Medicago truncatula: one gene and its partners. The protein of the gene in region 1 binds, or shares a complex with, the protein of each later gene. Links are inferred from orthologs where the notes say so. Each region holds a gene or a part of one and is shown in the gene's direction. Other genes may lie near its edges.

Evidence for each region.
Region 2: photosynthetic NDH subunit of subcomplex B 5, chloroplastic (region 1) and NAD(P)H-quinone oxidoreductase subunit O, chloroplastic share a complex: the UniProt entries of both Arabidopsis thaliana proteins name them as parts of the chloroplast NDH complex. The link is inferred for Medicago truncatula from reciprocal best matches to the Arabidopsis thaliana genes PnsB5 and NdhO.
Region 3: photosynthetic NDH subunit of subcomplex B 5, chloroplastic (region 1) and photosynthetic NDH subunit of subcomplex B 1, chloroplastic share a complex: the UniProt entries of both Arabidopsis thaliana proteins name them as parts of the chloroplast NDH complex. The link is inferred for Medicago truncatula from reciprocal best matches to the Arabidopsis thaliana genes PnsB5 and PnsB1.
Region 4: photosynthetic NDH subunit of subcomplex B 5, chloroplastic (region 1) and photosynthetic NDH subunit of lumenal location 5, chloroplastic share a complex: the UniProt entries of both Arabidopsis thaliana proteins name them as parts of the chloroplast NDH complex. The link is inferred for Medicago truncatula from reciprocal best matches to the Arabidopsis thaliana genes PnsB5 and Pnsl5.

Annotation. Positions count from the first base shown.
Region 1 is NC_053046.1:18,566,513-18,574,840, forward strand, and holds photosynthetic NDH subunit of subcomplex B 5, chloroplastic, read left to right. Parts: upstream 1-5,358; 5' UTR 5,359-5,416; coding exon 5,417-5,638; intron 5,639-5,735; coding exon 5,736-5,799; intron 5,800-6,193; coding exon 6,194-6,256; intron 6,257-6,647; coding exon 6,648-6,706; intron 6,707-6,817; coding exon 6,818-7,048; 3' UTR 7,049-7,272; downstream 7,273-8,328. Other genes in the region: acylamino-acid-releasing enzyme, read right to left, coding at 1-40, 216-393, 962-1,040, 1,142-1,263, 1,353-1,435, 1,842-1,993, 2,452-2,590, 2,684-2,755 and 4 more. UniProt on the Arabidopsis thaliana protein: NDH shuttles electrons from NAD(P)H:plastoquinone, via FMN and iron-sulfur (Fe-S) centers, to quinones in the photosynthetic chain and possibly in a chloroplast respiratory chain.
Region 2 is NC_053044.1:47,465,213-47,472,213, reverse strand, and holds NAD(P)H-quinone oxidoreductase subunit O, chloroplastic, read left to right. Parts: upstream 1-4,100; 5' UTR 4,101-4,176; coding exon 4,177-4,426; intron 4,427-4,530; coding exon 4,531-4,586; intron 4,587-4,679; coding exon 4,680-4,745; intron 4,746-4,835; coding exon 4,836-4,877; intron 4,878-5,026; coding exon 5,027-5,086; intron 5,087-5,213; coding exon 5,214-5,243; 3' UTR 5,244-5,592; downstream 5,593-7,001. UniProt on the Arabidopsis thaliana protein: NDH shuttles electrons from NAD(P)H:plastoquinone, via FMN and iron-sulfur (Fe-S) centers, to quinones in the photosynthetic chain and possibly in a chloroplast respiratory chain.
Region 3 is NC_053045.1:956,087-964,888, forward strand, and holds photosynthetic NDH subunit of subcomplex B 1, chloroplastic, read left to right. Parts: upstream 1-5,162; 5' UTR 5,163-5,255; coding exon 5,256-5,867; intron 5,868-6,123; coding exon 6,124-6,314; intron 6,315-6,499; coding exon 6,500-6,757; intron 6,758-7,064; coding exon 7,065-7,170; intron 7,171-7,559; coding exon 7,560-7,645; intron 7,646-7,753; coding exon 7,754-7,919; 3' UTR 7,920-8,072; downstream 8,073-8,802. Other genes in the region: probable GMP synthase [glutamine-hydrolyzing], read right to left, coding at 1-170; phosphatidyl-N-methylethanolamine N-methyltransferase, read right to left, coding at 8,544-8,793. UniProt on the Arabidopsis thaliana protein: NDH shuttles electrons from NAD(P)H:plastoquinone, via FMN and iron-sulfur (Fe-S) centers, to quinones in the photosynthetic chain and possibly in a chloroplast respiratory chain.
Region 4 is NC_053042.1:56,646,218-56,654,300, reverse strand, and holds the start of photosynthetic NDH subunit of lumenal location 5, chloroplastic, read left to right. Parts: upstream 1-4,589; 5' UTR 4,590-4,700; coding exon 4,701-4,754; intron 4,755-4,847; coding exon 4,848-5,234; intron 5,235-8,083. UniProt on the Arabidopsis thaliana protein: NDH shuttles electrons from NAD(P)H:plastoquinone, via FMN and iron-sulfur (Fe-S) centers, to quinones in the photosynthetic chain and possibly in a chloroplast respiratory chain.

The DNA of each region.
Region 1 (8,328 bases):
AAGAGATTGTAATGCTTCCTCACCAAATCCTAATGAACCTCTGAGAAATAATAAGGTTGTAAACTTGTAAGAATCCTTAAAAGAGATAATTATACAAGGAGCGGTGTTCTTCGTTTTCCGTTTCTTTTCTAGGCATGCTTTTATTGAGTGATTCTGATGTTGTAATATGCATGTTCCGACCAAATCTCTAACTGCATTTCAGGAACAAGTATTACCTGTAATTTACAATTAGCAAACTGTATCCAACTGAAGATAGAAACGCCCAAGAATTTGAGAAGTGTGACGAAGAGACGTCTTGTGGCCCTCCATGAAGGATCACAATTAATGGATCAAATACATCCTTGTTCTTGGTTTTGGATGAGACAAATATAGCTTCAAAAGGTTTAGCAGCACCTGAAATAAAACTTAGGATAAACACATATTAGACAGTCGGTTAAGTGATCCCAAAAACTCGATTAAGATTTACGCATAGCTATCACTATATAATGTGTTGGATTTGTTATAGAAGTATGTGGTTACCAAATAAATATTTGCACTGTATGAAAAGATTTTTTAATCAATTTAACGTGTCCAATGCTCTCAATTGTAACATAACAAACAACTCATGAGATTCTTATATGAATTCTATAGTTTATGTTGCTTCTTAACCAAATCCTTAGAAACAGGAACAGAGTGAAAATAATATGAAATTTTTGTTTTTAAAAAAACAAGATATGCAATCAAAAAACATTTCCTCAAACCTAACAGGCTCCAAGATCTCCAACATGAAAATTCATTGATATAGAAACAACAAAAGATAAAGAGTGAGTTCCATAAGATGGAATAAGATATTTTCTCAACTACTTTGTGAGAATAAACACACACGCACACACACAAAAATTAAAACATGTTTCAAATCTCATTAAGTCATTCAACTTAATGTTACGTATCCATGACCAAGAAACCAAAGCAACTAAAAGACCTTTTGTTGTATTACTAGAGCCATCTGTGACCGGGATCTTCAGTATACTGCACTGGATAGAGGACAGCAAAGATCTAACCTGCAACCAAAGTACAGTGATTCACATCTAAACATATAGAATAATATACTTTTGAAACATCTGTTTCCACTAATATACCTAAAGAAATACATAATACAAACCTTGTCAGAGCATTTGAGTATGGGACTGGATATCTTTGACCAACTCCATATAGAATTTCCCTTTGTCTTCTCAATGGCCATTCCATACATAATTTGAGGAACATTGACTGGATTGCTGGAAACTGCAAAACAGTTGACAAGGAAATGGGATAAAACACACTTCTCCACTTTAGAAGACCAAAGTAGTGAAAAACTGAGAATTTGTTCTTACTGGCAAGAATATTGTCCTCATCCAGCGTAAGAAGATTCCACGAGAAATTTGAGTCTGCTGGGCTGATACGTAATATTTTCCCACTATAATGACAAAAAAATTATCAGAAAGAATATATACAGTTTCCAGTATCTTATGATACATGCAAGTCATATCTCGAATCGATACAAAATGGAACTCAATGTATCCCATTTCATTTTAATGAATCATTTCCTGAATTTAGTAAAGTCCCACTTTTTTTCATCAACTTTTTATACTCGGCCACTTTTCTTTTGTGGTTTGATTTAAGACTTGAGTCTTAAATTAGTAATGTGCCTTATGATTCATAATAATATTCAATTCAAGAAAGTTCTTGTGATTTATAATAATATTTGAGTCATGATTTGGGAAATAGTTCTGCTGATTCACGATATGAATCACGAGCTGATAACCATGAATACATAAACCATTAATAGATGGATAAAAACATTCCTATTGTTATATAGTTACCTCAACACATTCACAGAAAGTAGAACTTCGCAGCTGTGCCAGATGGATGATAAGATCATTGTGCAGTTGTCAGAAAGCCAAGGATTATTATGGACAGTTGTACAATAAAGCCCAGGAAAACAACCATCTTCAGCACACATTACAACAGGAATCTTCAGAATTGATTGAAAAAGCCAGAGTTAATAACTGTCAAAAACATCACCTTATGACTTCTGCAAAGATTACACATTTTAAGTAAAATATATTTAAGCTAAGGTGCTTTAAAGATTGTTATTGCTTGGCAACAAAATTTCCAATGGGTTTTCCAATGATTAGCATGTCACCAAATCAGACCCTCAATTTCAAATATTCAAAGCATTTACCAAACATATCATTTCGTAGAACCACTTTAGCCCCTCCATAAGGATAAATGTGTGACATTTTAGATCGTTGAGAGACTTATTTGGTGAAAATTCTTTGGAAGACTAATGTTATATTGTCAGGACACCATAATTTTTAGAGGACTACTTTAGGAGTTTATTCTAGACTTCTAAAGTCTAAATTAAAAAAAAATGCAACCTGCAAACAAACCAAATACATCCAAATTAAGATGGCCACAAGAAGAGCTTACGATGTCATAAATATTGGCAGATTGGTACAGTTTTCCATCAGTTGGCCAATCAATCCTATGAAGTGAATTTGTAGCATTGTGCACGCCAGAGTTCACAGCACTTTTTGCAGATAAAAATACAAGGAATTTTCCATTTGGACTGGTAGAAAATTCATGAATAATTGTTAGCGGTTTAGGGACACCACGCATATACTAGTAGATATTAAAATTAAACACAAGTAGCTGACTCCACCTGAATCGTGGAAAAAGAGCACTGCTTATTGTTGGAGTTAGGTTCAGTGCATGCAATTCTTCAGTTGATGAGCTATATGTAAAATATTAGTTTCATCATTCTTTTCAGAATTAACCAAACTTAGCAACAAGTTTGTTCTTTCTAAAAGATATGAAAAAATTGGGAGTTAAGAATTTCTTACTAAAGTGACTCACTGATGTTCTGGTTCCTCAGATTGTGACTCGTGATGCGGTGCTCTAACCGCATACAATGCACAAGGCCTGTTAGAACAGTACTTCATACCAAGCTTTCTTGTCCCAGATGACCACCCGACAAAAACAAGATATTGTTCTGAGCCTTCGGTAAATGGAGCCCACACAACTTGGCCAGCGCTCAAAGATTTGTCAATTCCTTTGACAGCTTGCACCTCTCCACTGCGAAAATACTAGTTAAAGTAAGATTACTCTGTTGTGAATTGTGAAATTCGGAAAATAGCAGTTTGTTCAAATTTGGCTATTCTACACTGCGATAGAGCCACTATTTGAGAGCACTTTGTACTAAACAATGTATCATCGCACAATAGCAATTAGATAAAGTTATGTTGTGCGACAGCGCTACAGTGCCTCTATTGCCGCTACTTGACAACTATTGAGTATTGATCCTAAATAATATCTGACATGAATATGAATGATGAAAAACCTGTTGATGTTGATAACAAAAAGTGTAGGTTGTCTCTTTGCAGCATATGTTTCTCCCCAATCCTCCTCCCACTCTCCTTGACCTTTCCAGATACCAAAATCATTCTCTGCACAACCACCTTTCTTGTAGCCCGTATTATTAAATACTGGCTTTGTAGGAGAGGGTGCTTCTGCTACATATGCTATCAATGTTTCATCCAAGTTCCAAGAGACACCTTCAAACCTAAACCAAGGTAAAATAAACAAACAAATCTTTATTGTGCATTTTTTTAGTAGAACTTTGTTATGCGAGTGTTAAAACCATGGTTACAACCGATTAAGCCAAAAGGCTTTGGTTCCATTGCAACTCTTTAACATTGAATTCAACATTGCAAACTCACATACATGAATAATTAATAATAATAAATACATCTCAATCTCATAAGTCATCAAACTTACCATCCATCATTGTATACCGATCCATGCATTGATTGAGGAATACTAAACTCCTTTTCCAAGCAAGAAGAACTCCAAATCTCAAAGCAACAAGAACCCCCTCCTTCACTGTCACTATTCCGAATCACCAAAAGCTTAGAACCAGAAGGCGACGGAACAATCATAGACACATCACCACGCATCTCAATTGGAAACGGAGCCCACAGAAACTCAACAACAGAACCATCACTTTTTTGTTTAACAAAGTTACAGGACAGAATCAAAGTCTTGTTCTTGTTTGTTAAAACATCTGGTTGGGTGATAGAAAACATTCCTTGTGCTATGGAGCAGAAATAAAACATCCTTAATTAGCAATATAAGTGAAGATTATGAGAAAATGTAATAAAAGAGCTTTGATAGCTCGAATGAGAGTAAAATTCATAAGGAATCATATCGATAAAAGATGTATAAAATGTATATAAGTGCTTTATATATATAGAGCTTATTGAGTAACTAACTATCAAAAAACACTAACTAACATCCTAACTAACTCTAACTAATAGAATTCATATAGTAATAATCAAAGTGATTCTGACAAATCCAACGTGATGCGAAGTTAACACACACTAGTATAGTAACTAACTGTGAAATAAATGATGGTTATGAATTGCTTACTGTTGGTAGTGTGTGAGTTGAAAAGCCATGCTTTGTGAATGTTGGGAATAGTAGTAAAGTGTGGAAGTAAATTGGAGAGAGAAGCATAGTTTTCTTTCTCAGTGGTTGCATCTTCTCCACCAGACTGCATTTCTCAACCTTGAAACAATGTTATATTTTGTATGCTAATGTAGTAGCTTATTTGGTAATGTTGGTAAGAAGAACAAGTGTGGATTATGTGACTCAATTTGGAAGAGAAGAAAGAAGATTTGCACTTTGTATTTGGAGTAGTTGACTTTTAGGATTTGATTGGAAAGGAGTTATATTGATTTGGCAAAATTGTTTTGTTGGTCCTTTAACTTAGATCGAAATAACGATCGAAATTTTTATTATTTTAATATATTTATACATGAAAGCTTAAAAATTATATGCTAATGGACTAAAATAAGTTTAAAAAAAATAAAGGACCTAATAATTATCGATAATTAAGTGAAAGGATCGCAAATGTAACTTTCTTTATGGAATTTTATTGCTTTCATTTATCAAAATAATCTATAGTATTTCTTAACCGTTATGTAATTAATAGAATTGGAATGAAAAGTAGAATATATGTTTTGTAATTTCGACATCTCATTTTCATGTTTTGTTAGTCATCTTAACACAGCCTTGTTTGATTTTTCGTTGTAACATTTGTTTTGTTCAAATTAACATATCAACTTCACTCAAATACTAGTATATTATTAAAAAAAAAATTATAACAACATTGAAAATGTCAATCATTTTAAGACAAATTATTTTTTGCAAAGAGTTAAATTATCAAGGGTAATTTAACAAAAATCTAACGTGGTAGTAATTTAATCAACATAAGCTCCAAAATATCTAATAATCTAAGTAGATAAAATTTGTTGGTGATTCCTCAAAAAAATAGTTGCTGTTGATAAAAGTGGAGATAACATATGAAAGAGAACCAACCAACCAAGTCTGACACATGGCGCTATGTTCCTCACTTTCACTTGTCCCTCCTATCATCACTCCATCAAAACTCACTTCAAAATCCTTCTCTTCACCAACACCACTCAACTTTCATGGCATATTCACCAAGAGTAATAATAACTCAACAAAATTCTTGTTGAATGCTGGTTTCAATCTTGTTGAGCCTGACCTTAATGAAGATCCTGTTGACCAATTTCGCACTAATGGCATTCCACCTGTATTTTTCATATATATACTTCATTTTGTTTAATTACTTTTATACTATAGTTTTGTTTTTGTGATGAGTTTGGTTTGTTTTTGTGTGGATTTTATAGGAAGAATTTGAGTATGGAATATTTGATGGTCATCATACTTTTAATGAAGGTGAAGAAAAGGAAGGTATTTGTTTTTTCATTGCTTATTTTCTTAGTTTTATAGTTTCTTTTTATTTTTCAATCAGTTCTATTTTTAATGGAAATTGAAGTATGTGGCACTCATGGTAATTGGATACTTTTTATTTTGAAAACCTGGAGAATAAGGAAATTGTTATTAATTAAAGAGACGGTGTTGATTTTATTGTCGAAGGATTTGAACTCGATATGTCTTATGTCACACCTCATTGGGTTGAATTTAGACTTTCACAATGTGGCGAACAAAATTTTGAATCCCTACCAAAAGAAAGGCATTAGCTATTGTGGAGGAAATCTATGATGAAAAAAAAAAAAAAAAAAATGCTCCTGATCAAGCGTGTATATGTTTTTCTAACAAAGTTCATGATGGATATTAATTTCAGGAACAGTTTGGGGTGCCATTATGGATGATGTAATAGCAGTAGGACCCCCCACTGGATTTCAAGGTATGTTGTTTTCCTTGCACCAATATCTATCATTTTCTAACTTGGTTTACAAGAATGTTTTATAAACTCGACGAGTGATTGAGCCCGTAAAACCTCCAAATTGTAGTTCAATTAGCTCAAACAGTTGATCAGAATGACTAATGAATAAATAAGCCGTGGTTGTGTTGCAATTGCGGAGTTTTATAAACAGAAATGTTTGCGACTTTGATCACAACATCAGCGATATCAAAGTATTTCTGTCTCCACAGCTGCACTGCAGCCGCGTTTGAAGCAGCATCGACTGCATTTGACCACAAATCTCCGCAACATCAAAGTTTGCCACTTGAGCTGGCCCTTGACCAAAATTTTGACTGTAATAATTGATTTCGATTATTGTTTGATTCTCATGCAGGGCTTATATCATGGCTCTTCCCACCAGCCATTGCTGCTGGGGTATTCTTCGATGTTCCGGTAATTCTAAATGTTAATTGACATCAATGAAGAAATACTCAATCTAGAAATCAATTGATACATTGAGGAAGAAGTAATTGATGTTAATCCTAAGTACAATGTTTGTTTCAGGGAGAGTACTTGTTCATTGGAGCAGGGATATTTACAATTGTATTTTGCATTATTGAGATGGATAAACCTGATCAACCTCATCACTTTGAACCTCAAATATACAACATGGAAAGAGGAGCTAGAGACAAGTTGATAAATGACTATAATTCCATGAGCATATGGGATTTCAATGAAAAATATGGAGACCTTTGGGATTTTACTATCAAGAAGGATGACATAATGAAGAGATAATTTTTTTCTTGTTTTTGTCTATATATGTGCATGGTAATTCTTAAAGTATAATGAATATGAAGGATTCCCTTGTAAATTTGTTACTTTTCTTGCTTTTCTTTTTTATGTTGATCAACATGTGTATATTCCCTATTTCTATTCTAAAGCAAACATAAACTTAAGAATGCTACTCCCCTTGTCTAAAAAAATGTATGAGTTAGGATTCTTTCAACATTTTTTTTCCACATTTGTTGCGTGTGCCTTCAAATTTCATCAGAGGAATTATTTTGGAAGTTTGGAATTGGTTTGATCCTGGAAAAATCGCCTCGGATCGCAAGGCGATTTGCTCAGGACCCAAAATCGCAAGGTAATTTCCCATAATCGCTAGAAATGGCAGAGCTTTTTGAAGATCACAAGGTGATTCGCTCGGGTTCATAACTGCTATTTAAGCATTCTTTCATCGTTATTGTGTAATCTTGTCAAACCAAAATAGAGAACTTTTAGAAAACATAGAGGCTAACAGTTGCGTGTCCTTAGTGGAGATTCATGGGTTGAGAAACATCATAAACACTTTGGGTGAGTAAAAACCTTGGAGTCTATTGACAAAGGGAAGAGATTAGGAAATGAGTAGAAATTAGTTTGTTTGTAGAGATTTCTTGTAACCTTTGTATCTTTTAGTAAGAAACACATTGACAGTGATTCCGAGATATCTCTCTCCATACGTAGATCATTCTGAAATCTGAACTGAGTAACCAAATATCGGTGTGTTTGTTTATCTACTCTTTTTATTTTTGTTCTTGCTTTGCTTGTGGTTTTCCTTTACACTTTGTTACTAGATTAGATCTAGATCTATTATTGTTGGTGTTTACAAAATTATTGTTACTTTTCAGTTATTACACCCGTCTCTAAATATAATACTTTATTGACTTAATATCTGGAGTTAAGTCGAAAAACAAATCAGTCTAGTCGAGAATTGTTCCAACCAAAATCAAACTCTCCACCACTTGTCTTAATTTGCAACTGGGAAAATATTTTACTAACATTGGCATTAAGTGCTCCAAGGAAAATGGAACACCCTAGGCAAAAAAGTCTTGGTAAATAAAGACCTTGGGTCTGCTTAGCTGTGATGGCATGGCATCAAGTAATGCCCCTTGACCAGTTCAGTTCTACTATTATGGATCTGGAAGACATCTGGAAAATTCGAGTCCCATGATTTAAGTATCTTAATTGAATGTTCATATTCTGTAGATAGAAAAATGTGGATGAGTCAAAATCGTGCCATCACTATTGTTTGCCTAGTG
Region 2 (7,001 bases), on another chromosome or scaffold:
AGCTATTAAATGACACACCGATCAATAAATAATTTCCATTTTTTCATTCTTAAACCAATGACCTTAAGTCCCCATTAACAAGACCCCTCTTAAACTATTAGTGAAAACATTAAAAAAGAAAGTGAGAAACTAATGCCACTTCTTACACTTTGAGATGCAAAGGAAAAATAAAGCACACTTTTTCAGCACAATAGATTGTAGAAAATCAAGCAACAAAAATCAAATCTCTAGAATGATGATCGGATACTACTTGTAGTCAGTTCGGACTCAGGACTGGCCATGGCAATACAAACTGTGGAAACTGGAAATTATGACAGAAAGGAGTGTTTGTTTGCTTGCAAAATAAATAAGGCATGTGGAAAGGTTGGAGAATGCCTCAAAGCTGGCTTGAGTAGCTTAATTGTAGGTTGTGGTGTTAAGGGATTGAAATCACATATCCTCTTTGTATGTCAGTCCCTCTAATTGAAACAGGACATATCATACATCACTAAAGTATTTCTTTTCATATAGTATTATGCTCCCTCTTAATTAGTTTTCTAGGGGTGTTACTTTGTAATTGGAGAGACATTGAAGGAAATATACAAAAGGAATAGGTGATAATCTGACTCCCAGAAAGAAAATCACATAAAAAAAGAACCTTTATATCCTATTTTTTTCATATCAACCTACTACAATTTAGACAAGCTATACAAATTGAACCCACAGATAGCAAGAAAAGAGTATCAACATAAATATAAATTTGAGGATTTGATTGATATACAGCGTCGGTGTAAAGATGTTTCAAACTGTTAATCAACTATAACCGTCAAATCATTAAAAACATTTGACTTTAATCATCACTAATATTAAAGTGACACACATGATTGGTTGTGATTCGGTCCTCGAACTTTTTAGACTAATAGTGTATCATAAATAAACTCAATTCGTTCCTCCTCCCTTTCTAACTTCAACATACCACTAAATTTGACAAGGCACCTCCTTTGAATTTAGAGTTTATAAAATATCATAACAAAAACTTTAGCCTATATTTTCGTTCTCATGGAAAAGAAATCCAATGAACTTCCCTTGGAATATACTACTAACAACAATGAATCAATTAGCATTTAAAAAAAGGAACCTGATGATCTGGGTTTTGAAAAACAAAACTTTTAGGCTCCTTCACATATACAGTTCCTGAAGTTGGAGTGAATAGACCAGCCAAAATCTTCAAGAGTGTTGATTTTCCACAGCCATTGGGTCCAAGAAGCATCCAAAATTGTCCAGAAGGAATGCGAATTGAACAATCTCTAAGAACGTGCACATCCTTAGTTTGCCTTGCAGTGAACGAGAAATTCAGATTACGACCTTCAATTGCAATACCATCCACGCTTTTGCCCCTGAAAAAACCGTCAAATACACAAACTGGTTGAGCACAAAGTGTTTGAGAAAATGCCGAAATGAAAAATAAACTGAAAGTTAGTTATAAACCTTGTAGTTTTGGTGGGAAGTGAAGAATAGATAGGAGCAACAAGATGATGAGGGGTAAAACTGAGAGAAGAGAGATTCATAGCATTTCCTTCTTCTTCTTTCTCCTCCTTTATCTATTCCAGCGAAAGTTAAACAAAATAAAACGATAAAGTAAAAAGAAAATAGCTTTTGTGTCTGTTTGGTTTTTCAGTAGCAAAAACTTTTTGGCTTAATTGCACTTTTCATCCTATAGTTTGCCAATTGTGCAATTTTGCACCTCATAGTTTTAAACGAGCAATTTTTCCCCCTATAGTTTTCTCCCTTTCTGATTTTATGGTCCTCGTGACATTTAATGCTGGTTTTTTTATCAATTAATGTGTGCCACATGTGTAATTCCATTTTTAAAAAAATAAAAAATGATATTTTTCAGATTTTGAGAGAATGAGCACGTGATTTTTCAGATTTTAAGAAGAAATATCACGTGCCTCCTTCTCTCAAAATCCGAAAAATATAATTTTTTTATTTTTTAAAAAATGGAATTACACACGTGACACACATTAATTGATAAAAAACAGACATATCAGCACTAAATGTCATGGGAACCATAAAATCAGAAAGGGGAAAAACTATAGGGGGCAAAATCGCTCGTTTAAAACTATAAGATGCAAATTTGCACAATTGAAAAACTATAGGGAGGAAAAGTGCAATTAAGCCAAACTTTTTTGATTGAATATATTTTGTATAATTTGATAATAGAAAGTTTAAGGAAAATGACTGTACCAAAAAAAAAGTTTTAAGGAAAATGATTTATATTTACTTAATTTTATTTTAAGTCAATTGAGTTCTTTTAAATATTTGGTTCGGAGTTTCGATCATGAATAATATGAAAAATATATATATATATATATATATATATGTTAAGAGAGGTCAATTCTAATGAATAGGTGAATTCATCACCAAAATTGTAATATCAACCAAAATAGTTGTAATATTTGTGAATTAACAAATAAATCCATGAGATTTATTCAAAAAAAAAAATCCATGAGATTATAAAGTGCTGGTGAAAATAGTTTTTTTTTTTTACAAATGAAAATAATTGTTATGTTAACTTTTTATTAATAGAGGCTAGAACGTAACACTTTAATTGAATATATGACCCCCTTTTAATATATAGCTCACAACAATGTTGCTAGAGCTTCCCTTAAAAAAAAAACAATGTTGCTAGAGTGTTTTTGTCAAAAAAAAAAAATGTTAAAAGAGTGTTATTTGCATATAAAATTTAAGTCTCTTGCAGACTAATTTATCGATAATTAGTTCATTCGTAATTATAATTACTAACCAATTTATCTTTAAAATTACTAAGTTTTATAGACAAATTAGTTCACAGTGAACTAACATGGATGTGAGATGAAAGTGAAATTTGACATATGTAGTTATCATCTCACATTATTGTCTCTAATGTCATAAATTAATGAATTAACCATTTTGAATATTGTAAAAATAAAAACCATTTGCCTATTTTTTTTATAAAAATAAATTGAAAATTGTTTTTTTGACAATGAATATTTCCTATCGACATAAGTAAATGACGTTTTTTTACCTCCAATGATCGCTAACTACCGTTCGAAGAACCACCGGCAGTTAACCGCCGCTGGTGCCAATTCTTCTCTCTATTATGTTATCTTCCCTCCCATCTCTGTTCTTCATTTTCCTTATTAATCCACCAAGGATTTTGTTTTTGTTTTTCCTTTTGTTGTTTTTTTAGCTTAATTTTCATACCGTTGAATTGAATTGGCTTCATCTGTGAGCTAAATTTCTCACTCTTGTTTTTTATGAAATGGGTTTATGAGAAGTTTTATTTTTTTGCCACCCTTTTGATGGATCTTCATAAATTCAATAACTTTATTTTATTTTTTTGCAATATGAAAAAATGGGGATTTATTAGTAGCAGATTAGATCTTTTGGGTATGATGGTTCTCCGTAATTGATATGTGAGATCTGATCACAATCTGCAAATAATCATGTTACGATTTTTGTATTATTAGTTGATAGAATTTGAAAATGAAGAACATAAAAGCAAGTATATCCAAACACATTGAATATGAAAGCTGGAAAATGAAGAACAGAGATGGTAGGGAAGATAACAGAATAGAGAGAACAGAAAAGCAATTTTTCAGCGGTAGTTAACTGCTGCCGGTTCCTGAACGGTAGTTAACTACCGCTGGGGGCATTTAAGTATTTTACTTATGTCATTGTGAAATTTTCAATGTCAGAAAAGCAATTTTCAAACAAATTTAGGAGAGTTGAGCTCTAAGGACTCACTAGAGTCAAGACAGATCTCAAGATTCAATTAACACTTATAAGTCATTCGTGAAAAAGGTCATTGAGATTTGAACCTACATCCACAAATCAACTTTTCATCGGTTGAGTAAATTTTCATTGTTTTTTTTGGTTACAAGTAAATTTTCATTGTTAAGTTAACAATTGTTTGGAAGATAAATTTGTCTATTATTTACCAAATAAAATAAGATGTCCAACGTTAAAATTTCTAGCACCAATTTTGGAAATTAAGTTATTTTAAACTTTAGAAGCTGATGTGAAATTCCTCTAAAGATCAAAACTTTTGGTACACTTGAATCCCTCTTTTTTATGGCGTGACATTATTTGTTCTTATTCACACTACTATAGTGACGTGCCCAACAAAAGAGTCATCTTCTTATCTCTAGTTGTATGTATGGCATTGTGTCTCTCTTAATGGCTTTCTGTGTGTCTCTCTGCTGCTACACCTCCTTCCCTTCTCTTTCCCATTTCTCAAAAACTTTGACAAGGAAACATGTCCGTTCTTCTTTCCCTTTGATTTGTGCAGTTCAATCCGGCGAACCAGGTGGCAGCTCACAGTCACAGCCTAAGAGTTCTGATGCTTCCTCATCCTCCTCTACTACTGCTCCTAAGACTCTTCCTAAGAAACCTGTTTATTCCAGTGAGTCAAGCAACCAAATAACTATTTATTTGGATTTTATATGTATGCTGAATGCTGCTGCTGTCTGTGTGATTATTTATTCATTTTTGTTAATTGTTGGACAGTGAAGAAAGGTCAGATTGTGAGGGTGGACAAGGAGAAATATCTCAATAGCATTAATGTAAGAAGACTATCATTGATTTAGTTTCAATTATAGTTATTTCAACTGTGAGGAGGAGGACTTAAATAACATGTACTAAGGTTAATTTTTCAGTATCTTTCTGTTGGGCACCCACCCTATTACAAAGGATTAGACTACATTTATGAAGACCGTGGTGAGGTAAACAAACAAACACCAAAAGATTATGAAAACAAAATAGTTTATATGATTAGTGTTTATCTAACTAGAAATGTCAAACTGTATTTGTAGGTCTTGGATATGCGTATATTTGAAACAGGAGAGCATGCACTTGTAAGTAACTTGTCAATAGTGTGTGTGTTTTAGGTGTGAACCAAAGGCAGCTGACAGCGTGCCAATTATTTTTCATACCAACAGCATGATATTTGAAGTTTAAGTTTTAGTATTCTAACACAAAAACTGTACCATTGCTCAATTCTCAGGTTGCATGGGTAGGAGTCCCCACTGCTCCAGCTTGGCTTCCTACATACATGCTTATCAAGGTAATGCTTAACTTGTTCCAATGAAATCTGATGTAAATTGTTTAACTTTATCTACATATACGCGACCTATTTTCATTTTAGTTGCTTTGAAAGCACCCAAGTCCTAACTCTTACTTTTTTGTTGCAGTCAGAGAAGCTCAATTATGAGAGGCTATAACACTCCTTTTCTTCTAGTATTGTAAGATGCGAGATTCAAGAAGATTGATTCAAAATACCATCAGAGACGCCCACCATACCCCATTTTAGTTGAGCTGCGTGATCAATTCGAATGACTACTGTCAATTATTTGGAAAATTTAGTTGTGCTACCCAGATGATGTTTTCGGCCATGACTATCATTGTATTTATGCTTCTATATTTTAGTTTTTAATAAATGACATAGTTAAAGATATGATGCACATCAAGGGCAATCATCAGAAAAATAACGAGATGTGAAAATCAACTGCAAATACACTTCATTTGCACCTGTAGGTCAAATAAAGCACTAAAACAAAATGTTTTTTTATATATTGTTTATTCAACAATGCAACTTATTTTCCATGTTAGGGAGTAGAATGAATCTCTTCACTAAAATTGCATAATTGTAGAACTTGAGGTATCAAATATTTAACCAAGATTGAAGGCAGAAAAAAATGCCACAAAAGCTTATAACTTTTGCTCTCCAGTCATTGGCCTCAAACTTGCATTTATATGTGATACTTTTGGATGGAAAAAAAAAAAAGAAAAAAGATTTCAATTGCCATCATAGAACATCATATATATGAACTCTCTCTCAATCTAGATCCTCTGTGATTAAGCATCTTTTATTAAAAGAAAAAATATCAACTATAATTGGAACAAATTACCAACATTTTACTGTGCTGTGCAAATCGGCGACATCACAGCTAAGGCACTGTCGATGCATCAGGATGCTTCCATACACATCCAACAACCTGTTTTATTGTTCCATAAGCTGAATTGTCAAATGTGCCTAGTTAATGATGTTGAAGAATAGTGAATTTTCTTTTTACTAATGTGATTGATCAAACGACTTTGAATTGGAAGAAATCGAAAAGTGAGCTTCACTAATTCTAGAACACTTTCCAAAGCAGATATCAAGTTATCAACCATGCCATGATCTAATAAATTTTAAAATCTAAGAAGGCTATGCCTTTCCAACTTTAGACTCTTTCCCCATATGTGGAATGGGCTTAAGCCAGGAGAATGCGTGAAGCTTTCGGTTCAAACTATATATTATCAGATATAGCTGGCCTGAATCAAAATTTGGAGAAGAATTACAGGTTCAAATTTTCATAAGAATTCATTCACATATACAAATATCAAAACAAAACAGAAAATTTAAGGCCATGGTAATAAAGAAGCACTACACAGTCCATTTATAGTGTCTCCATCAAAGCATGGTCTACAGATCTAGGTCATTACTAAAGCCTCATAATTGTAAGAGATAGGATGATAGGTTATACAGGAACCATACATTGTTACATGAATAACCATATACATAAAATAAAATGTACCTTAATTCGCATTCTTTACGATCTGATGCTATTTCAAGGTAAAAATTATTTAGGGGGTGGTGTCAATCCCAGACTAACTACCATCAATTCACATTCTATTCAAAACAAATTAAAAGCAAGTAAAAAATCATTGTCCTTTAGAAAGTCTGATTTGTGGCTAAAGGTAAAAATAGGGGCAAAGTTTGAAACATACCAAACATAGTACCATTTTCCCTTCGAAGAGAAAGTAATTAAAATGAGAACATGTACTTCTAATAAATAACTACGAAGATAAATAATCATAGACGGTGATATAGTTCCATACATTCTCCCTATCAAATTGGAGACCCGGCTCTCAAAATAAAATAGGTCCCTAATAAAATAAAAATACAACTATTTAAATTGAAAAAAAAACATTTGTAA
Region 3 (8,802 bases), on another chromosome or scaffold:
CGCTTCAAAACCGCCGGTGTAACCACCACACACTGCGGCGAAGTTTTCTTCTTCTCCGTTTCGGGCGCCGGCACCGGTTTCTTCACATTCTTCACAGGACGAGCTGCCTTGGAATCAGAATCTGCTCCAACAGTGACATTCATGGATCGAACTCTGGGTGGACCCGACATTGCAAAACCCTAGATTCTAGAATATTCTTCACGAAATCTCTGTTTAGAAGATCAATGCCGAATACCCAATTGAAAATTTCGAGTTTTCAGAGATGGAATTGAAGTAAAAGATGATAAAAAAAAAAAGATTTTGAATTGAAAATTTGAATTTCAAGTTTGAGCACAAAACCCTAGAAAGAAGAATAAAGGGTTTCTTTTTTGGGAAGCATGAAGATGAAAAAAATGAGGTAAGTTTGGTTGTTTGTGTGAAAAAAGGTAGAAGCTTTGCTTTGTGTTGGTGGAGTGTGGTGAGAAAGTTGCAGACTTGCAGGGAAAGAGTGAGAAAGTGAAAGGTAAAATATTTCTAAGGGTGTGTTTGTTTCAAGTTTACCAAATTTATTCTTAAGAATAACATTTCTTGGAATATAAAGATAGGAATTTTATTCCAAAGAATTTAGGAAAAATATGTTTGGTTAGCTTTATAATATTCCTAGGAACTATAAAAATAGGGATTATAATAGGTAAACTATTTATGAATTTATTCTCATTTCCATGGGAACTTTATTCCCACCCTTTTTCTTGTGAAATTTTTTCTATTCCCAGGAACATTTTATGCCCGGGAATAAAATTTAGTAAACTTGTAACAAACATAGGGATATATATTCCAATCATTTTATTCTCGGGAATCAACAATTATAACTTGAAACAAACACACCCTAAAGGTTTAATACATGTTATGTTTTGATCCCTTAACTTATTTTTGGATTTTATTTTGGTCCCTTAACTATAAAGTATTTTAATTTGATCCCTTATGTCTTCTGTTGTTACCTCTTTTGATCATCTCCGTTAGTTTGTTTTCAAAAATAGTTAACCCTTGTCCACATGTCATTTAAGATTGGTGATCAACAACTAGATTTGAAAAGTACACAAGTATACAATAGGCTCACAACATATAATCATTTCTATTCTTATTGATTTTCCTAAAAATATAAATTTAAAATCACCATCAATCTTCATCTATTTTTGAAATAATTTGTATCCAGATTTTTAAAAATTAAAATATTTTTCAGAATTTTGTAGAAAAAAAAAATTAAAAATCTGACCTTTTTTTTAAATTTCGTAAAAAAATTATTTTTTTTCATATTTTATAAAAATCTGAATTTTTTATATATTTTTCAAAATTAATATTTTTTCCAGAATTTTGTAGAAAAAATTAAAAAAAAACATTTTTTTTCGGACAAAAAAAATCTGACCTTTTTTTGAAATTTCGTAAAAAATTAATTTTTTTTCAAATTTTAAATTTTGGAATATTTTTCTTTTCTAATTTTAAAATATGAATTTTTTATATATTTTAAAAATTAAAATATTTTCCAGAATTTTGTAGAAAAAAAAATCTGACCATTTTTAAAAATTTCGTAAAAAATAAATTTTTTCAAATTTTTTAATTTTGAAAATGATTTTATAAAAAATATGGAATATTTTTTTCTTCGTATTTTATAAAAAAATATGAATTTTTTTATATATTTTGGCTTCAAAAAAATCAGGTGTTAATCATTCACCGTAGGCTACAATACACCTACATGATCCAACGATTTCTATTTGAAAAATAGATCAAATAATTAAAATGTAACAGATAGGACCAAAAGACATAAGGGACTAAATTGAGACACTTTATAGTTAGGGGACCAAAATGAAATCCGAAAATAAATTAAGGGACCAAAGCATGTATTAAGCCGAAAGTAAAATATCTCTTTTTAGTTTAAGGAAGAGACTAATAAATGTGTTAAAATTTAATAAAGGAAATAATCATAAATTTTTCTTAGTTTAATACCACGATAAATCTTTTCAAGGAAAGTTTATCATATATTTTATTATACTTAACTTAATGATTAATTTATGCAACTATGCATAGAGGATATTCGTTCACATACACCCAAAAAAGGGAAGGAATAACAAAATGGATCATGTCTGAGACTATATTTTTTACAATCTTGATTATTATGAGACGGATTCTATTAACTTGGAGTTCCATCGGAAAGACAATAAGTAAAATATGCCCATAAACTGTTTCATCTCATAATCAAATTAAGATTCTTTCAAATAATTTGTCATTTGATAAAATTCAATAACCATTCGTCCTTAATCACTTGATTTCCTTCACTATTATTTATAGGTTTAATAAGCCTTTACCCCTTGTAATATAGGTCACTTTTGGTTTTGTCTCATGTAAAAAAAAATATAGATTCGATCATTGTAAAAAAAAATTGTTTTGGAAAACCCCACTAGGCCAGCTGACTGTACATTTTTGCTGATGTGACATGTTCCGTCATTTTTTCGGATGACGTGGCATACTAACTGTATAATTTTTTTTATTTTTTATGGGGTACACGTGACATTAATGATTTTTTTTTAAATAAAAAAATTCTTAATTTTTTTTAAAAAATGAAATAAATTCTGGAAAAATGAAAAAATTTAAAAAAAATGATTAAAAAAATTTAAAAATGATAATAATTCTGGAAAAATTTAAAAAATCTGGTCAAATCTGGAAAAAATTAATATATACCGAAATTTTCAAAAAAATTATAAAAAAAGTCTGAATTAAATTAAAATTATAAAAAAATTGAAAATATATTATTATATAATTATTTTGATTTTGAAAATTAATTTCTAGAATTTTATTTTATTCGAAAATATAATCTAGACGAATAACATGATACAATGGATATTGATTGACACCGGTATATAAGTCATGTTATACCGTTAATAACAAGCCCTTAATTCTATTCTTCATGATCTAATGTTATGTTTTTTTAATTATGAAAATACTTTTAAATATTTAGATTTTCTGTATAAAATAAAAATAAAAAAAACCAAACTTTTAATTTTGAAAGAAAAATATGAACTTTCATTTTTAATTCTTTTCTTATTATATTCATAAATTTTGAAATAGTTTAAGTTCCTAAATTTTTCATTTTTTTATAAAATAAAACTTCTTACTATCGAAAAAAAAAAAAAATTTCATTTTCCAAAATTTTTTAATTTTTTCGCTATTGAAAATAATATGGAAATATGAATTTTTTGAAATATATTAATTTTTTTAATTTTTCCAGATTTTATTTTATTAAATTTTCTAGATTTTTGTTTTTATTTTACCAGATTTTTTTAATTTTTCCAGATTTTTTTTAACTAAATTTTCTTGATTTTTCATTTTACCAATTTTTTATTATATTAATATTTCCATAATTATTTTGTTTTTTATTATTATTTTTATTTTTCCAAAATTTATTTTATTTTTTATAATATTTTTTCGTTTTTTAATTTTTAAAAAAAAATATAAATGGCATGTGTGCCCATAAAAAAATAATTATACTGTCAGTGTGCCACGTCATTCGAAAAAGGTGACATAATATGCCATATCAGCAATAGTGCACAGTCAGCTGCTCTAAGGAGGTATTCTAAACAAAAAAAAATTACAAGGACCGAATCCAAATTTTTTCTTTTACAGGAGACAAAATCAAAAGTGATCTATATTACAGGGAGGGATAAAGGTCTATTAATCCTTATTTATATATCCTCTCTTCTAATTTTCTATCTCTATCTTTTTTATAATGAAAAACGAGAGTTAGGTGAGACATGCAGAGAAGTAGTGAAAGAGATGATTCAAATTTAAAGAAATAACTTGCTTCCATTTTGTGTGTTGTATAACGAGTATAAGTTAAAAATCTCGTATAATCTAATATGGATTCCTATTTTTCCCAAAATTTGTTTATATATTTTATAATTATAATTATTTGAGACTAATTATTTTTGGTGAACCAAACATCATTTTAAAATATTTTACTTTGTTTGTATGTTATGTTATTATTGATAATTTTAAACTCAAGGTGTGGTAGTTGGATGATAATTTGGCAGTTACAAGTACCATTTATAGTAAAGAATTTCATGTGGCGTGCAGCATGCAAATGCATCTCCACCCAAACTAGACGTGAAAGGGATTTTTTTTTTTTAATTTTTAATAAATATGAGAAAGTGATATGTGTTGAAACTCATTTTCCTTTTTTTTTTTGTTACAACTTATTGTCTAAAGTAACAATAGTCTCATCCATAAGTTCTAACTCAACTGACAAAATGTCGAAATCGTTAGACATGATATCATAATCGGGGTTCGAACCACGGTACCTCCACTTATGTGTGTGAGTTTATAATAACTTTGTCATTTCGTCTATCTTAAAAAACAAAAAACAATAGTTTCAAAACCTCAAATTTATATTTGTTTTATTTATTCGCTTTTTATTTATTGTCTATTTACGAGAGATTATAGACATAAATAATCTTTTATTTGTGTTTATTTTTTAATTATGACGTCCACTTGAATTTTTGAAATATAATATACATATGTCGTTTAATGAAATTCATAACACAAACTAGGAATTAATACTTGTGTGCATGATGAATTTGGCATATTTATAAGAGCCAAGATATTGTGGATGCAATCGGCTGTAAAGGTAGTTGTTGCATAGTGTTTAGTTTATTGAAAGCAATGAAGTGGACTTAAAATTAGGAAAGAGGATTCAACAAGTTATATTTTCTATGCATGTCAAAGTGGTGGTTTGGGGGATTGTTTCAATTTCGTAGTACATGATATCATTGAGTTAGGTTCAATGTGACATTGAGCAGTGATATTTGAACAACCATTTTATATAATTTTTTGTGATAATTTTTTTTTCTTTTCTTTTCATTGGTTAAAAATAATGGAGAGAGAAAAAGGAAGAGAATGAATAAGAGGATAATATGGATATGAGAGGAAAAATTGTCACAAAATAGTTGTACAAATATCATTTCTCTTCTATTATTATATCGTACCAAGGACTATTTTACCTTTTATTTGTAACAACTCTCATAAGATTCTTTTTCACGAACTCATGTAAAGTTTTCTATATGAAAGGTTGATAATTGGTAACAGGAAGGAAGCTGCACATAATACAAAAAAGATTAAATGGGACCCACTTATCCAACACATTTCCACACATTCTAGTTCTAGTCTCTAACATGTCTAACTTTGTAGCAAGAACAACGCAAAAAAAGAACCAAATTTGAAAAATCTCAATGGCTGCAACTGCAACATATTATTTACATTCTAAAATTTCAAAACCATTTTCCCATTTCACTACAAACACATTTTCCATTCCTTCAACTTATCCAACCAATGTTTCATTGTTAACATCATTAGACCATCCATCACATTGTTACAATTCAACTAGAAGACTAAATCTTCGCGTAAATGCCAAAAAGAACAATCCATGGCTAGACCCTTTTGACGATGGAGAAGATCCAAATATCGAATATGGTTCGTTGTTTTCAGACGGTAAACAAGACGAGGATCCAAGGCCGCCCGATAATCCAAAAAATCCTTATGGATTCTTGAAGTTTCCAGCTGGTTATATGGTTGAGATAGCTCCTTTAGGATTGAAAGTTAGAGGTGATGTTAGAAGGTGTTGTTGTGTGGTATCTGGTGGTGTTTATGAGAATCTGTTGTTTTTTCCAATGATTCAGTTGATTAAGGATAGGTACCCTGGTGTTCAGGTTGATGTTGTGGGTTCTGAGAGAGGGAAACAGTGTTATGAGTTGAATAAGAATGTTAGATGGGCTAATGTTTTTGATCCGGACGATGAGTTTCCTGAGCCTGCTGAGTATACCGATTTTGTCGGTGTTCTAAAGGTTGGTTGGCAAGCATATTTTTTAAATAGTTTGTGTAAAGTTTCGATATTTTTCTTTAGAAATATGAGACTGAAAATCGATCATACCTTGTAAAGCACCGATACGGACGCGTGTCCGACATCAGGACACACCTAATCCGAAGACTGTCCGTGCTTCATAGCTCAAAACTCTTAACAGATTTTTCCTGCTACTTTCTAAGGTACATATATTAGAAATTTTATATAGGAACTGATTTATTGTTATGTTATGCTTACAGAGTAGGTACTATGACATGGTCTTGAGCACAAAATTGGCCGGAGTTGGCCATGCAGCATATTTATTCATGACAACTGCGCGAGATAGAGTTAGTTATGTTTATCCGAATGTGAATGGTGCAGGAGCAGGATTGTTTCTATCTGAAACATTCACACCAGATAGTACAAATCTCTCAGAGGGAGGATATCATATGTGAGTTTGTGCATGTTTGAAATCACGGTGTAAACAGTTTTTACACTGCCAATCAGTCTTAAGTGTTAGATCATGTATTGACAGTGTAAAACTTTTTACCTGATAGTATTTAGATTTACATTTGGTAGATTTTCACGAAAATTTTCTTTAACTGAGGACCATTTCCGATGAGTTTGACGAACTAGGTATCATCAAATGGAAGACTGGCTAGGAAGACCGTTTCGAAGCGTTCCACGGCAGGTTGTGCCACCACTTAAAATATCACTTTCAAGGAAGTTGAAGGAAGTTGTGGAGGAGAAATACACAAAAGCAGGTGTAAAGAAAGGAAGATATATTGTGATTCATGGGATACAATCAGACTCAAAAGCCACAATGCAGTCTAGGGGTGATCCTGATAGCTTGCTACCCCTTGAAGTGTGGGCTGAAATTGCTGATGCTGTAAGGTATGAAATGTTGCCCTCTAATATAGAATCTCTCTTAGCTTATTTTTATAAGTTCTCCATAATAGCTTATGAAAACAGCTTAGAACTTATTTTCAGCTTATTTTTATACATAAACTCTTGTATGATAAACATTTATGCTATAAACGTTTCATTAAGTTGTTTATCAAAATAGAGTTCAAGTAAAAAAGGTATCCTACATAACTGTATTCGTCAAATAAGTGTTTCTCAAGCAATTTCTCCTTATATTCTGTCATTTTCTGGTATGTATGTTTTGGACTATATTTTAACAATTAACATATGAATACAGGGAATTTACACCACTTTTTGTCATTCCACATGAGAAAGAAAGGGAAAATGTTGAGGAAATAGTTGGAGAAGATTCCTCTATAATCTTCATCACCACCCCTGGACAGGTACTCAAGTATCTCATAGTTATTTTGCATGCAACAAACTTAGAGAGAAAAAAATAAAATAGTAAAAAAATGTCAAAACATTGAACTGTGATGTGATGAAAATGAATGAATAGATCAATAAAAAATATGCTGTTTTAATATTGAAATAACAAAAATAAGGGGAAAGACAACAATATGGGACATAGGAATAGGCTTTTGAACATAACTAGTGTCCGTGTCTGTGTCTCGTTGATTTTTTTTCTTTGATCGACCAAAAATGGAAAACCACGGTGGCATAGTCTTCATGCAATCCGAATTCTGTGTGGATCTAATTTATTGTAGTTAAAATGTGAGTCTTCAAATCTTCATTTTAACAGTTTCAATTCCCTAACTGTGGTTGTATGGTTTAGTTGGCTGCTCTTATTAACGACTCGGCTGGAGTTATAGCTACCAATACAGCTGCAATTCAGCTCGCAAATGCGCGCGAAAAACCTAGGTAATTTTACCATTCACATGAATTATAATGTTTCCCTAAACAGCACATTAATTAAGCTTTGCAAGACAATCACATTGATCCCATAAAACTGTTGCTCAATTTATGCAGTGTTGCACTATTTTCCTCTAAAGAGAAGGGAAACAAGTTTGTTCCGCGGGCAGAAGAGAAGAAGTGCATTGTGATATCATCCAAGACGGGGAAGTTGATCAATATAGATGTTGAGGCTGTAACAAATGCAATTCAAACTTTCAATGTTTCTCTAGCTTTTGCATAGCCTAAGAGAGGGAAAACAGCGAGGGTTCTGAACTTCAAGTTAAGTCGTTGTGCTAACTATGGTTAAAACTTATGGTAAAGAAGGAATGTATATCAACTAATTCATGGCTTCCTTTGGGGCGATAAAAAAACAGGTACATGAATTAAAACGAAAGTCAAAACACGTAAAAATAAAAGTCGAGAAAGCTTTGCGATGCACAAGCATGAATCTTGTGACAGAAAAAGAAAAGTGGATCCTTTTCAGCAAAACAACAAACAAAAAATGTGAATCCTTATCACATGCACAAGATTCCATTTATTAAAGCTATCACCTAAAGCTGTTTACACTTTGACAAGCTTGTGACATACATATGTCGAGAGCGGTCTCGAGATCTCTTGGTCAATTGGACTAATCCAACGGCCGGCCTCTGAATGGAAAGACTGCAAAGAATCCAAAATCTGTGTCGAGATACAGAAATCAAATAAGTTTACACTTTGCAGTTCATTTGAAATAGTTTTGTGGAATCGGAACATATAAATAGAGATGACATTCCAATGCACTGGCAAGAAACAGAAACATACAAAGAGTTCGGCACCTTAGATGCTACTGATTACTCCTACTTATATCTAATCTACTGAAACAAAATCAGTTCAGTGGCTTTGCACGAGTCGATGGATCTTCCTTTGATTCGACACGAATCATAAACACGTATCCTAAAACCCACAGGAGAATGTACTGAAAAGGAACCCATGGAAGGCATGCAATAAGACTCATGATGCTGCCAATATACTGAGGATCACTGATGACCCCGAAAGGGAATTCGGTTACCCATGGAATAGTTTTTCCGAAGCGTACACCGTAGTATGTGCCGGCTTCACCAAGAAGCTGATAAACCCTGTCATTT
Region 4 (8,083 bases), on another chromosome or scaffold:
TTCTTTTCTTTTCCTTTATTTTCTTGTCATTTACTTTTATGCTTTCTCTCTTCTTCCCCATGTCTACGATGAACATGAGTGAGTAGACTTCTCTTTGTCTTGGGATTGTTGGATAAGTCTAAATGACATAATCCTGATCAAGCCAAGCTCTAAGCCTTAATCTTATGTAACCCTAATTTCTTATCTAAATTCACCGTTTTAACATGGATCAACCATTATCAAACTGTGCAAACGAAAGGGTTTGATAATCGTTTATCCATTATCTCAAATATCAATTCATAAAACGAAAGTGGAGCTTTGATATTCGAACAAGTGAATTTAGACAAGGATTGCAAAGGCAGCGAAATAGTCTTTGCAATCTTTGAGACACATAGTTTCGATCTTCAAGGGAACTAATAACGATCAAGTCAGCGAAATAGGCTTGGTTGTTAGAGGAACCAAAATCTAAGAGTAATCAAGTCAGCGAAATAGGCTTGGTTGCTAGAGGAACAAAAGAGAAACTGTCTTGAGAAATTAGGTCTAACATAAAGTTATAAGCTTATAGTTTGGTTTGTGAAGGACTTGTTATTTAGATGAACCAATGATCCCAAGGCTCCTTTTATATTATTATCTTTCAATCGTTTGAAACCCCCAACTTACAACTCGTTTCTCCTCTAATCATCATCAAAGGTTAATTGAATTAAACTACTCCCTGTCGGAACGATACTCTTTTCATACTACTTCGGTAAGACCGTGCACTTGCGATTTTATCTCATCATCATGCAGCTTAATTAATATACAACAACAACATAGGCAGCACATAACATCTCAAGATATAACAATACCAAATAATAATCAACATCAACTTAAACATCTTATATAATTCACATAATGCATATACAACTACATCACATTACTAACAACATCAAATCATATTATATCAGAGTCACTGAACATCAGTAATATTATAATCAACCTTCATTCCTACCCCAAGGATCAACTCATAACATCTCGTGCGACAAAGATCGCAAAAACCTATACAAGGTTTTATGTCTCTCTGCAGCTCGCGAGGCGAGCCACTCTACTCGCTATGGCGAGTTCAGGAAAATGGCTACTCGCCTTGGCGAGTAAGCTACTCGCCTTAGCGAACTGAAACTGGGTGCTCTCGGGAACTTGACATTTTTCACCCAAAAATCTCATTTTTAACTTCCCCGTGTTCAATTTCAATCTAAAGACTTGCCTAATTATTATTATACATGTTCAGGCACTCAAAATCATCTAAAGCTCGACTAAAGGAGTTGAATCACAAAATCAGGTTTCCTCACTGGTCAACTCGCTATGGCGAGTGATCTGCTCGCTATGGCGAGTAACTAAGGGTCACTCGCGAGGCGAGCGATGAAGTTCATCACTCGTGTGGCGAGGATCATCCCTCGCCAGGGCGAGCGATGAATGTCAGCTCGGGCAGAATGCAGATTTTCACGAAAATGCATCAATTCACATGGTTCTAAGCTTAAAACTGATTCTAAACATCACACTATGAATTATTTGAGGTCTGTACACACTTTCTACATCAATTCTACAAGTTTCCATCATCTAATCCTCAATTATCACTCTTAACCCTAATTTCCAATTTTCAAAAACTAACCCTACAACATGTTAAATCTAATCATCAGAATTAAAGGCTTAAGAAGATTGAATGTTAGTCTCACTCTTACCTTAAGAAAATCGATCAGCAGCTCTCTCTTGGTTCTTCTCTCCTCTTGTTCTCCCTTTTCTCCAAAACTGGTTGTACGTGAAAACTTTTCTAAACCTATTTTCTCCTATTTATCTTTTCCCATCTATTTTATCTTATTTCCTCATTTTCCCACAAAACTCTCTAAATTCTCAAAACAACCCTTCATCTCAATATTTATTTTATTTTCAAATCTTATTCTATTAAATAATAAAATAAGCCACTTAATAAATCACAACACATCATATAATCATTTAAATCACATAAATCATCTAAATAAACTCTAAACTCTATAAAAATAATCAAATAATTAAAGAGGGCGTTACAAAGTGACAGCACCACTTTATGAGATCCTGCACGCGCTCCTAGACATATTTCAAAGAAGATCTGATCTAACAACATTCTGAAGTCGTGTAAAGCAAATCTTTAAGTACAACCCAGAAATTCATGAAGAACACAACAACATTCTGAAGTATTCTCAAGAACACAACAACATTCTGAAGTATTTTCAAGAACACAACAACATTCTGAAGTATTCTCAAGAACACAACAACATTCTGAAGTATTTCAGTTTGCCCAGAATTTCAAGTGAAAGTTGGTGGGTCCCAGGACACGTGGCATAAGACCATTGGTCACTCTCCAACGGCTACAAAGGCTCAAGAACTCTATAAATAGAGATCAAGACCTCAGCATAACACACACATTTGCAAAGCATACAAGAAAACAACATAAGAGTGTTTGAAGCTTTAGCAAAAACATTGATCATCACAAAGATTCCAAGAAGTCTTCAAAAGTGTAAATCAATATTTCTCTTATCTTTTTAAAGATAAATATCTCCCTCTATTCATCTCTTGTTTGATCTATATCATTCAAACTCCATACAAATTGTAAACAAAGTCTCATCTAGCTTTAGGGGTACTAAAGTGTTAGTTTGAGCAGAAAGGTGTAAAGTCTAAGTGGGTAACTTAGCAAGAAAGGTGTAAGTCTGCTGAGGCTAAGAGAATACAATTGTTGTAATTGTTCAGGTGAACAAGGTTGTAAGGTGCAGAATTTGAGAAGTTATCTCAAGCATCATAATGGAAAATCTCACAAAACTGTGAGGAGTGGACTAACCCACATTGGGGGAACCACTATAAATTTCTGTGTGTTCTTCTTCTCTTCTCTTTACTATTTACTTACAGTAAACACAACACACACAAACACATTTAATTATTTAAATTGTTTTTATACTAACACTTCAGAACGTTCTGAAGTCTGTCTGTTAACTTAACCATTCCAAGTTTTCAACTTGAGAATAACTTTTAAGTGACAGGTTTAATTTTAAAGGGTCACAATTCAAACCCCCCTTCCTTGTGACTATTTTATCTACTTCAAATTTATCTACCACTGCATTACCAACTATAGGAGGAGTCTCATCATCTTCAACTAAAAACCCATCATTCATGCCCATAGCTTTTTCCTCTTCACTATCATCCAATCTTACTCCAGCAGCTTCATCTTCACTACTTCCCATATAGTCATCAGAACCATCACCACTCATTTCTTCATCATCACATACACCATCAGCTTCATTCATTGTGCCTTATTCAACTACATGACCTTCTTGACCTCCAACTCCCCCTGACATGTCCAAGTCCATAGAACTCTGCCCCACATCCATAGAACTCTACCCCACATGTGAACCTACCATCCCTATAACTGAATGTTCAACATATAAATGAGCCACACGTTTGTTCTCAATAACATAATCACCAACAATATCAGTGTCATTATCATCAACAATCCTTTTGTATTTATCATCTTCAATAACATACCACCATAAATGATACTTAAGGTGATCATCATAACCTAACTCTTTTAGTATACCAGTCGCTTCGAAGTAACACCACCTATCCCTATCAATCCCATTACTACTACGTGTTCTTGACCCCCAGTGTAATACAAAATATAGTCCGTAACAAATTCACCCCCATGGTGAAATACAATTGACACACTCATCCCTGTCAAATTTTAGAAACATAAACTTTGTTAATAAACCTTCATCTTCGTCTCTACCAAAACCACATGCAACAACAACACAAAAACAAGTATAAAACAACATCAAACAACATATAACGACATCCATTCTACTCTTTTACATCATTATAAACTAGCATTCAAAGATTTTTTGATTCAAACAACAAACAAAAGATAAGAAGAAGAAAAAAATAAGAGGATAGGTTAGAATGTTCTACCTCAATCGCAAGCCAAAAACCGCTTCTTCTACCGTCGATCACCTTCAAAAACCTTCGCTAACTGTTGATTACACTTCGTTGCCGTGATTCACCGTCAACTCACCTTCGTCTCTGTTCTTACACCATGACTCTCTAACTTCTCTGAAACCCTATTTCACAAGGACGAAATGGAAAATGAGAGCATTTTTTTTCAATAAATAGGGGGGAAATCAAAAGACAGGATGACTCACCAACTCTTTTGACACGTAACCCTCCTTTTGTCAAGTCACACTAAGCCACGTATGTCTCCGCCTGCCACCTCGCCGTTTTTGTAACGGGAGTTAACGGGAAGAATCATTTGCAAAACGAAAAAAGCTTACAAGGAGAGTTTTGAAACAAAAAAAGATACATGGACGAATTGCAAAAATGCGCAAAATTACAGAGACGGTTTGCATATTTAAGCCACTGTATAAATGAAATATCGAATTTTGTTGTAGTTTATTTTTTCCCCCTTATTAACCTAATAAAATAATTAAATCAAATCAAATTTGATACATCTTAGTCTAAATTTTAATTAAATTAAATGCAATCTCTAGCAAATGAAATCTAAACCAATTCTATTTTAGTTTTAATTATAATGTGGTGGCCCCCACAAAAAATGGTGGTGAATCCATCCATGGGTTTGAGTTGAATAGATATAGATTGGTCGCATCCTCCCCAATTTTAACGCATGCGCGATATCCTTCCTTCCTTCTTCTTCGGTGTTTAACCAAACGATGGCTGCTGCTGCTGCATTCAATGTTACTACAACACCGCCACTTTTCTCACTGGTAATATATATTTTTTTTATTACTTGAATTTAAATTTAATTGGTGTTGAATTCATTTTTATTAAATGATTGATTTTCTTGGTTGGGTGGTCAGTCAAATGTTGTTGCTCTGAACCCTAACCCTAGAAGAAGTATTTCCGTCGGGGTGGTTAGGTCCCGAGGTGGGGGTGTGAAACTAGCAGTAGCAGTACGACGACAAGTGAAAGTGAGGGCAGTGGAAAGTGGTAGTAGTTCAGAGGAGAAAGTAATAGTACAGTCAAAAGTGACTCACAAAGTATTCTTTGATGTTAGTATTGGAAATCCAGTTGGGAAGCTGGTTGGAAGGATTGTGATAGGACTCTTTGGTGATGATGTCCCACAAACTGTTGAGAACTTCCGTGCCCTTTCCACCGGTGAGAAGGGCTTTGGCTACAAGTCCTCCACCTTCCATCGCGTCATCAAGGACTTCATGATTCAAGGAGGAGACTTTGATAAAGGAAATGTAAGTATCTCTCTATCGCTATCTCTGTAATGATTCTACTTAATTGGAATAAAAATGTAAATGAAATTTCATTGATTCACTCAATTAAGCATTACAACTTAGTAATTGGAATCTCTCATAGAGAGTAATAGGTAACAAAGGAATGTAATAAGAATAAGAAAAATAGAAGTGAGGGACTAGAGAATTAGAGAGAAGGAGAAGAAGTTACATCAATCATTTCATACTTATTTCCTTGGCTTTTCTCATATTTATAAGGGTCCATATTCCTATTTCCCATAATGCCCCTTCTAACTCTAAGACTCATTACATTACCATCCCCTTTAAAATCAACCTTGTCCTCAAGGTTGAAGCCAAGATAATAATGTTGAAGAGTAGTAGTACTAGTGACTTTCAAGTAACTGCTAAAGTCACATAAACCTTGCCCTCGAACAAGAGAACATCCACCCGGGTCCCATTGTTGGAATTGTTGAGACCCTTTGGTATAGAAAAAATAGCCATTAACATCTACTAGAACGCCGATCCGTGCGGCGCACGGGTCATATAGATTGTAGAAACCGACAATAATATAGAAATTTGTATAAGCCTTCATAGCAATAAGTCATTAGTACGGTAATAAAGATAGTGTATTACATCATTCATACAAATAAAAAGACTATAAATATGTTCAATCATACAAATGACATAAATTAAGAAAGATTACGAAAAACCTCTCTATAAACCACATTAGATGTTACACAATCGTCTTCACCATCGTCATTAGATATTAAAATCTTCAAACCTTCTCTTGAAGTAACTCTTGACAATGCCATGTTCAATTGACAATATGAATTAAGCTAATATAATTGACAAAATTTGAGTTCCCTGCCTTAAGTAAACTAATATAATTATATACTCTTAATATTGAGTCATGTATAGTTAACGTTATTTTCCACTATACACCAACAAACTACAAATTTCTTTGAGTATATTAGTCATGAAATATAGTGTAATTCAGGCTGGCTAGTATCTAATCTTCCTACACAAAGGTTTGCAATATGAATTAAGCATGTAGTACAATGCTGATGCATAAGTTTCGCTCTCTATATTAACCGGCCATTAACAAATAAGTGATGTATTCAGATTAGCTATCCAGACAAATAAGTAAATTTAACCTTAAAAAAAACTATACAGATTTAACAATCAGACTTACCAGGCGCACCAAGCACACGTCTTTGTTTGTGCAAATTGTCATCAATTAGATTAGGCGAAGTGCTATTCCAAACAACCTCTGGTCTGTACAGCTGATCAGAAACCGTCAATGCTGCAAAAAGTCTTCACAAGTAGGTGCCCGTACCCCACAAACTTGCCTCTATTATGGCGTCAATGAATTCTCTGTCATCGTCCAACAGTCCCATCGCAAAGCAAGTGTCTTTGAAACTAAAGTATTTGACGTTATCCACCGTTTTTATGTCTTCGAAAGATGTAGGACCCTTGACATAATTTAGTAGAGTTCTGAGATAAAACTTTTCACCTAAACCGGGTGGTGCAAAATGTTCTGAGATAAAACTTTACCACGCCACTGTTATTTACAATTTGTATGCACAATGTCACAAAAGAAAAAATACACATTAAGCTTCATTTGAGATTAGCTCCACCCTGAGTTTTGTAGCAACAATGGCACTTTCTTCTTTGTCTGCAATAGGGAAAAAATATTGAAGAATTAAAAATAGGAAAAGAGAATAAGCATAAGTGACCTATCAAAAAAAGAATAAACGTGACTTACTTACTTATATGAAAGATGCTCTGGAAAAATTAAATCATCATTCCTTTTGTCATAATAATTAAGTTAAACTAATCCTTTCAAAAGAAAAAGTTAACTAATAGAGCTTATATAGTTTTGGAAAAAAAAAAAGTTAAATGGAACACAATGGTCGGACCTCAAACTTATTTTCTTTCCATTATCTTCATAGTTGAATTTAAATACAACTAACCTAAGGGATCCCCATCATGTGAGTATCTTCTATAGAAGTGCCTACAATGTTAACAGATTGAAGGTGAGTGTTGTGTTACAATTACTTTTTTTTTTTGGAGTGTTGCAATTACTTAACCTAAGTTATTCAACAATTTGAGCCATTGTGCACCCTAAATTTCTCTTTATTTATTAGTACTAATAATTATTATTTATGCAATTAACCACACTAAAACTTTAGTCTTATTAAAAAATATCTAGCTTTACAATATGCGGCTATTTATGGAAAATGTTTCAGTCCAGGCAATGAATTATCAACAAACACCGTGAAAGACTTGAAAAAGTTGTACATTGCTTTTGAAAATGATATCAGAACATAACAATAGATCGTTTTTTTTAAGGAAACATAACAATAGATCTTAGAAACATATTTATAAGATAAAATAATTTATTCTTTCAAACTTTAGAACTGACAGTAGATAAATAATGTTTTACAGAGCACACACCTAAGAGTATCAATCACATAATATTTATCTAACTACACAGTTGGAAATATTTCATTCTAGCACGGTGAGACTTCTTACTTGCCTACAATACTTTTCATCTGAAAAACATGTCAAATTATCCTGACTATTTTAGTAACAGTTGAAAGCAAAATAAATGTTCAATGTCATATGAAAACATTAGACTTCAAACAATAACCTCAAGTACAAAATATCAATGAAATAAACTAAATCAAAATAGAATAGAAAGGTTACTTAATTATGTGAAGCATGAAAAGAAACTTGTTAATATCTTTAGAAGAAGTGTAAATAGTCATGGATTAAAAAAAAAACAAAAAAAGAGAAGAAAAAAATACTATTATAGCGAAAATTCAAAATCAAAAGTCGGACACTTAAAA